3 linked regions of the Kluyveromyces lactis genome follow. The protein of the gene in region 1 binds, or shares a complex with, the protein of each later gene. Links are inferred from orthologs where the notes say so. Each region holds a gene or a part of one and is shown on either strand. Other genes may lie near its edges.

Region 1 (2,989 bases):
CCCTTACTGATTTGGAGCTAAACGAAAGAACTTTCGCTGATCTTTGTCAATATACCGATGAATTCTTGGTTCATGCAGCAGATGTAGAGGGTCTATGTAATGGGATTGATGAAGAGCTAGTGGCTCATTTGTACAAATGGACTGCGGATATTCCAAAAGTGAAAATCGTATACGCAGGCGGCGCTAAGAGTGTGGATGATTTAAGGCTAGTAGAGAAATTGAGTCATGGCAAAATTGATTTGACCTTTGGTAGTGCTCTTGATATTTTTGGTGGATCCCTTGTAAAGTTCGAGGACTGTGTCCAATGGAACCATGAGAAACACGCTTAGCTTCCAGTCTTTGTCTAATAGTTACACTTTCGATGGAAATAAACATTCTATATAGAGATAGAGATATTGAAACATTTTTGACCGTTCAACTTTTGAACGGACGTGGTAGATTGGATGGTAGCAGATGCTGCTAGTGCCTTTGAGTATGCTAGTATTAAGGAATATATGCCTTGTGTTTCGTCAATGAATTATAGAAAAATCGTTGCCTTTCACGATAATTGTGGTAGCTTTTTCTTGTTGTCTTGTCTCACCATGCATCATCGTATCCTGAGCCTCCTACTGGCCCTCCATAAGGATCCATATCTTCTTCCATCGGCACTTGTTGTGATACGTGCGTAGATACAGCTCCTGCTGCGAAATTAACTTTCTCTTGGTCCATCTTCTTTAATGAGAATAATATGTCGGCTACTTTATCCTGTAAAGTTTTGATACCACGTACGACGACTTGTTCCGAAGTGATGGAACCAACAGACTCGACGTTTATGTAAAATGTATTAGGTTTGGCCCTGTAGTCGAAATCCTCGTCTTCGTTAGGAGGATCTTCAAATTCACAATTCTTAGATTGAGGCCATTCGTCCCTTGCATCCTGTTCGTACCAGTAATCTGTGTGTTTTAACTTATTCCATGGATCATATTCAAACTCTATAGCTGCTGATGGTGACCATTTCGCATGTTCTTTTGAAATACCCTTCTTAGCGATACATTTCACTCTTATCTCTTGTCCCTTTCTTAGTTTACAGATTAATACACCATTTGCTTCTCTGTCTTGTATAATTGGATGGCCAATATTTCTACCCTTCAAATCGCTGGTAATCTGCAAATCCTTAGCATAAACGTTCGTCGTGGATTCACTCTCACCGATAGCATGTAGTATTAGCTCTACTGAACAACGGTCACAGTGATCTTCACAGTAACAGTCACGACAGTATACAACTTGATCAATGTCTGCACTTTGTAATGGAATTAACCCAAGTCTATGCGCAATAAATTCATCTGCCAACACAGTAGTATTAGTTTCAATCTCAACAGAATCGATGGCTAGTGTAGGAATCTCAGATATCATGACTCTACGTAACGAGTTTGCTAAAGCCAAGTCGACATTAGAAAGTATAAAGTCAACGTTGTCCTTGGTTGCTTCTCTAATTTTTACTTGGGGACCTTCTTCGCTCATTTGTTCTTTCGCAGTATTAAACTCTGATTTCTCCCTAAGATATGACCTGCTCCTTGCTCAATCAAATACCAGAGTATTGACCAAACTACAGCAACGAAATGATTTGTTCTCGTTCCCTTGGTGCATTCGATTATTGTTTTATGAATTTTTCACTTTTGTTCAGTTGGAAAATTTTTGAGCTTTGGCAGCGTTTGGTCACGTGCATAGGACTATTCCATCAATACTGTTTCAAATAGGCTCAGCTAAGAATAATATTGCTCGGAGTCATGTATATATAGCCTTTATTACCTATAGTTAACTTCTTCGAACAATAGTGGCCCCATTTCTTTCTTATTAGCATTATTTCTTCTTTGTAGGACCTTCAAATCGGTTTTTGAACATATTAGAAAGCTGATCCCACGCAATAGGCGAAATATCAAGTACAATTACACATCACCGAATTTAAAATAAGGTGAGTTATCCACAGATAATCAGCCTTTTACCATGCCTAAAGGAATTGCCCGTGTGGATGAGAAAGTTTCAGTAAAGGCGTCATTGCCAGATTTGCGATTTGAACAGACCTTTAAGCAGTCCTTGAGGAAAGAAGCTTTGAAACAGAATAAATTAACTCTATCGGTGGCTGATGGATCTGTCGTAGATCCTCCCATTACACCATATATCGTTGCAAAAGTTGTTGCTAGAGATATTTTGATAAGTCCATTTTTGCAGGGTGTCTTTCTCTCGTTATTTTATATCGTTGCCAAGCCATGGTTACAATATTGCAGACAAGCAGGACGTAATATTGGCAGAAGTATAATTAGGAACTTATTTGGTAAGAATGCGATATACAGGCCACCAAGAAACATATAACTGAACTTCTTCTCCTAGGGATTATAGAAGGATTAGGATACTATTAACACGAATTCTCTTGTCGTCGTTCTGTTCCTTCTTCGTCAAACAGAAACGACGATAATCTATATAGTAAAATATAAACTAACTTAGTATGATGATGATTTAATGTACATTACGACCAAAACCAACACTTTATTTCTTTCATACGCTCTGATAGTTCGCAGTAATCCAAGAATAACATTACCAGGCATGCAATATAGAACAGGATTAGGTAGTGAAAGCTGTGTTCCGCCACCGTTTTTTCCAAATAACGAACTCATGAATCTATTCCAGAGCGATAGTAAGTGAAGGTTGGGAAGGTATTGGCTTTGTATCATTATTATTTGTTATTTTTGTACTGAGTAAAAATTTCGGAGTCATGGTCATTAAGTGAATTGTCTGGAACCACCACGGACAAATTCGAGGATCTTCCAACCTTCGGTTTCCTTATCGTCGACAGTTTCTGGATCCCTGGTGAAAACCATGGCGTAAGAACTCATTAATATACTGGATTCAGCACCTGCTGCAATTTCACCGGTCTTTGCTTTTCTGTATAAGTGAATTTCTTGAGCACGACAACCGACAACCAAGACAGGGATATCCTGAGGTGGTAATAGCT
Region 2 (2,483 bases), on another chromosome or scaffold:
ATTTGTGATATCTATCTTTGAATATGAGGATACGGTAACGACATTATGGGATGCTGTTGAGGAATTCATGGATACTTATCCAGAAATTCTACATCCTAACAACAGTCTAAGCTTTTTGACGGATACCACGATGGTGGGACGTTTTTTCCCTGTTGTTGATTCGAATACAGACTATAATCTATGTCATTTCTGGTCCAATTTCGAAATTGGAGATCTAAATTTCTTTAGAAGTGACGAGTATCTTCAGTATTTCAATTACTTGGACTCCAAGGGTGGGTTTTATTATGAACGTTGGGGTGATGCACCCGTGCACAGTATAGGTGCCTCATTACTTCTAGACAAGAATGAAATCCACCACTTTGATGAAATTGGATACAGCCATGTTCCATTTGAAACATGTCCCACGTCCATATCAGCACGATTAGTGCTCCGTTGTATGTGTGATCCTAACGGCGAATCTAATATTCCCATCCACCCAAACAGTTGCTTGATGAGATGGTGGAAAAACGGTGCCGGCAAACTATTTATTAGATGATGGAGCAGAGGTGAAACCGGGGATATATATAAGATATAGTACATAGGTTTTAGTATAAAGTTTCCAAATTCGATAATTCCTTTAGGATTCTTTCTAGATCTTCGTCAGATATCTTGGTTCCTAAACTTGGAATTAGAGTCTTGGCTTCATCTGCATCTTCGCACGATAGAGAACCCAATTGCGCCACTTCGAATGGATGCAACCCTGTGGATGATAAAAGCTGTGATACAGCGGTTACTGTTTCCTGATCACGGAAACGTGAAAAATTCGTTAGGTATATCATGGTCTGCTTCAACGCTTGATTCTGTCCACCAGTGGTCTGTTCAAGCAATCTATCTATATCCTGTAACTCTTTCTCCTGTGTTTGGGTATGCACATTGACGTTATCTTCATCATCCATGTCATCGTCCTTATTTGATGCACCATTGCTTGCCCATGTCTTGAATAATTTCCGACGGTTCTGTAGCGTTTCCTTTATAATCAAACGAGACTCACTCAAATTTAAAGCCACTAGGTTTTCCTCCTGCCCCTGATGGTTGATTTGCTTCAAATTAAACTCTTCTCCCAAGTGTAAAGTGGCAGCATTCTCTTCTTCAACAAACTTCTTCAACCCACGTCTCTTGGTTTGAACAGTGGATGTAGATGTATTCATGGTAAATTCGAGCTGTTATCTATAAGAGCGGTCCAAAAAAGTAGACGAGTGTAATCACAAAAAGTGCTATTCCAGTAATCAGCCACTTTGACAACGGTACAACTTAGATAAATGTAACTCCAGTTGATGTTTCGAGTGACAAAGTTAGTTTACCTCTCGTTTTAATCGTAATTGAATTTCCATTTTTTTTCCTAACGGTAATTATGCGAAAACTCAACATCAGAATATTGGCCCTATGACTTCATGACATGAATGTTCTCTGTATTTAAGGTATTAAAGTGAATCTTGGCAAAGCTGTTTGTTTGTACAGGACACCAGGGCTTATTTTTAGGGCAGCGCTGTATGTACTTGGTACTCATCGTGATTAGGTATAGCCAGATTCGAATTTAGCTGTTTTTTAATATAGGAAGGCGTACATTCTTTAGCTGGTTTTGTTTCTGTTACTGTTTTGCTATAAGTTCTTTAAGCGAAACTCAGGGTTATTCAGTCGATATAACGTTTAAAAGGTATTTCCGTTGAAACTTTGAGTTGTGAATTGGTCATTTCTTTGTTGGAAGAGAGGCTTTTCTAATATTTTGCTGCAATAACGTGGTTAGACGTTGACTATAATCTGATATATAATAAATGGGGGATAAGAATAGCCTTTGGAACCCTGCGTTCATGGCTTCTCAGCAGGGAGCGTCGAGTTCGAATCAGAACCAGAACTTTTCTCAGACGCAGGCAAATACCCAGAATCAGGGCCCAGAGATTGCGCCTGATGGGCCAGCTGGGAGTAGCTCCAATGCAGGCGGGAATATATATGCAGGGCAGCAACAAGGCGGAAATGCGGCTGGTGGTTTCCAAATGCAGTCGCCACGTCAATCGATATTCAAAAACCCATGGCAAGAGATTCCCCAGATACCTGAGTCTCAGAGGTCTACTATGAGGAAGCAATCCAACTTCCCCTTGCCCACTACTTACGAAGAAGATAACGCTGTAGATGAATCCTCACAACAGTTCAGAAGGAGAAACTCATCTTTAGTAATACCACCTGCGCGTGCGGCAGGGCCTGATCCGTTCCTTTATGAGAAGCAACCGTTTCCCAACTATAATGATGCACAAAGAAGGCAGTCGGTTGCTGTCACTGGTGGCAGTCAACTTTCGCCACAGCAGGTAACGAAACCATCTCAGCTTAGGAAACCTGGAATTAATACTGCGGGATATATGGCTGGCTCCATAAATTCTTCTGTGTATCCCGCTACTGCAGGTGCATACATGAGCACGCGTGGCGGCTCAAGTTCACTTCCGTCGTCAAGG
Region 3 (2,164 bases), about 790 kb from region 1:
TAGATTCTATTCTTATGTTCAGAAAATCCTATAAGGGACTGTCGAAAAGAAACCTATAATGATCACTGTATCCTATACAACCGCTTCTGGAACACTTTATAATGACTACTATTTACGAGATCACTGTATATAAACAAAACTTAATCTTAATATGTTTCTACATGGAAATATGCCAACATCTTATGTAAGGCTTCCCGTCTTTAAATAATTAATGAACTTTTTAAAATCCCAACATACCAAATTTATAAAATCAGATGAATATGCTTTATTTAGGTGATGTGAATAGTATACAATGCAATAGTACATGAAATAGAATTGTGTGCATGCGTGCATGCGTGCTTCTTGTGCTTTCTTTATTTGTCGTTTCAGCAGCTGAACAGAAGTTACAGCAAACAGATGGTAATTGAAACTCAGTGGTTTTGTCTATTCTGGAGTCCATACGTCGAACGTAATAAAATGCAAACAAAGAACGCAAGAAAACAACGCGGTAGTAACCAGTGGCAGAAAAGTGAAGACGTAATTAAAGAGAATGGACCATTTTAGTGTAGAAGGGGGTATCGCAATTGATAGTAAAAGCAGACCACCTAATCTCTTTTTTCCAAAGGATTGTATCTCAAGAACTTTTCAATCAAATCGACATGTGTTAGAATCATTCTTCTGCAACAGTATCTCTTCAACCCCAATCTAGTCAAAGCAGTACCTTCTTCTAGTTCTTCTTCTTGCAACATATTCAAATAGGCTTCCCATTTGTCACCGACAACTTTCCCACAGGAAAAACATCTAACTGGAACAATCATCTCTCTTTAAAAGTATATCGAAACGAAAAAAAACCTAGAAACCTGGAAACCTGGAATAAACCCTCCGAGATTTATAAACTATCACAATAAGTGGATCAAAACCTGCTCGACCTTTTGAAAACTCATATAATTTGCATCACAAATCATCATATTCAACCAGCTTTCTTAATTCTTAATACTTTAATTTTTCATCGGTTCCAAATTTTTCATTAGATGCCCTTATATGTCACTTCTCACGATAGAGATGACCATCGTTTCTTTTCAAATCCTCGTCCTGCACAGGTTTCAACCATAAAATTTTCCAAAACTACAATTCTACATACGGTGAAAAAAAAGAATCCACATTAGACAAATAATTGAAAAGATGCGATGAGCTTATGAGTTATATGATGAGCTTGTCTTTTGAGAAGCAGAGAAAGAAAATACCAAGAGTAGGATCAGCCAGAGGCACCAACAAGAGTATCAGCTGTTATCGAATCCACGTTAAATATGCCAAACTCTTCGTTACCAATGTACAAGCTTTCTGTTGTTTCTGGTGGGAAGGTCGCTCTTCCTAGGATTCACAATAGATCCGCGACTAGAAAATCGGTGAGTTGTCTTACTCAGGACGGGTCAGCATACATTGTCCCTTTCAACAATCAGTTCAAAGTGTATTCAATTGATACTAGACAATGTATTAAGACATTGAAATTTGCTAATAATGATATTTTGACTTCGATACTCGATGAGCCTTCTGTAGAGGTGGTGCATATCGAGCCTATTATTGACGATGAGATGGATAAGATCAGAGTGTATACCAACACTGCGAAAGTAGTTATATTGAAGTATAAGGGTAAATTAGCCACGGAGATTAAAACTTGGTCTTTGAATATTACTGGCGAGTTATTTGCAGTTCTTGGCGATGGGAAGAAATTACTTACAGTTCAGAAAACAGGGAACTCTTACAGATATGATCTATATGAAAACGTTGAAGAGAAAGAGGAAGAATCTGAGGTTAAACACCTTGAAACTTTTGAGAATGTTTTACTTTCAACTTGGTCTAATAACAATAACTACCTTGCCCTAGTTTATTTGAACCAGGAAACTAAAAAACATGTGCTGATCAAATCTATGGTCGACAACAGTTCAGTTCAGAACTTCCCAGTACCATCTACAACATCTAGTACCACCATAAATTCCCATTTTGTCACTGCTCTTGCGTTAGATAACGACGGCCAGCAGTTGGCTATTGGATTTGCATCTGGTGTTATAAATTTGATCAATCTACCTGATCTGTCTCATAGATTATTGAAATGGCATATCGACTCAGTCCTATCCTTAGGATTTACAAATGACAACGCATATTTACTGTCTGGTGGTTGGGAGAA

What was found. The genes of interacting proteins can lie anywhere in the genome.
Region 2: RPB3 (region 1) and RPB4 share a complex: the UniProt entries of both Saccharomyces cerevisiae proteins name them as parts of the RNA polymerase II (Pol II) complex. The link is inferred for Kluyveromyces lactis from reciprocal best matches to the Saccharomyces cerevisiae genes RPB3 and RPB4.
Region 3: the proteins of RPB3 (region 1) and RPB10 are in contact, whole or in part, in a crystal structure (PDB 3K1F), measured with the Saccharomyces cerevisiae proteins. The link is inferred for Kluyveromyces lactis from reciprocal best matches to the Saccharomyces cerevisiae genes RPB3 and RPB10. Residues at the interface, in NP_012243.3 of Saccharomyces cerevisiae: Asp16, Asn17, Val57, Leu58, Phe62, Arg66, Leu69, Ile70, Pro71, Thr110, Asn112, Tyr114, Gln135, Asp136, Glu138, Asn140, Gly141, Val142, Leu143, Ile144, Cys145, Lys146, Leu147, Arg148, Lys149, Gln151, Ala168, Lys169, Gly171, Ala174; in NP_014853.3 of Saccharomyces cerevisiae: Met1, Ile2, Val3, Pro4, Val5, Arg6, Cys10, Gly11, Lys12, Val13, Gly15, Asp16, Lys17, Glu19, Ser20, Lys42, Arg43, Ile57, Glu58, Phe60, Leu61, Arg62, Tyr63, Asn64, Pro65.

What each region holds. Positions count from the first base shown.
Region 1 is NC_006040.1:1,362,233-1,365,221, forward strand, and holds RPB3 (DNA-directed RNA polymerase II core subunit RPB3), read right to left. Parts: upstream 1,501-2,989; coding exon 577-1,500; downstream 1-576. Other genes in the region: 1-(5-phosphoribosyl)-5- ((5-phosphoribosylamino)methylideneamino)imidazole-4-carboxamide isomerase HIS6, read left to right, coding at 1-329; KLLA0_D16192g (uncharacterized protein), read left to right, coding at 1,984-2,349; protein translocase subunit TIM44, read right to left, coding at 2,757-2,989. UniProt on the Saccharomyces cerevisiae protein: DNA-dependent RNA polymerase catalyzes the transcription of DNA into RNA using the four ribonucleoside triphosphates as substrates. Component of RNA polymerase II which synthesizes mRNA precursors and many functional non-coding RNAs.
Region 2 is NC_006037.1:539,734-542,216, forward strand, and holds RPB4 (DNA-directed RNA polymerase II subunit RPB4), read right to left. Parts: upstream 1,188-2,483; coding exon 585-1,187; downstream 1-584. Other genes in the region: KLLA0_A05775g (glycosyltransferase family 15 protein), read left to right, coding at 1-535; serine/threonine protein kinase YAK1, read left to right, coding at 1,812-2,483. UniProt on the Saccharomyces cerevisiae protein: DNA-dependent RNA polymerase catalyzes the transcription of DNA into RNA using the four ribonucleoside triphosphates as substrates. Component of RNA polymerase II which synthesizes mRNA precursors and many functional non-coding RNAs.
Region 3 is NC_006040.1:575,967-578,130, reverse strand, and holds RPB10 (DNA-directed RNA polymerase core subunit RPB10), read right to left. Parts: upstream 798-2,164; coding exon 585-797; downstream 1-584. Other genes in the region: dynamin-related GTPase MGM1, read left to right, coding at 1-59; NAN1 (Nan1p), read left to right, coding at 1,287-2,164. UniProt on the Saccharomyces cerevisiae protein: DNA-dependent RNA polymerases catalyze the transcription of DNA into RNA using the four ribonucleoside triphosphates as substrates.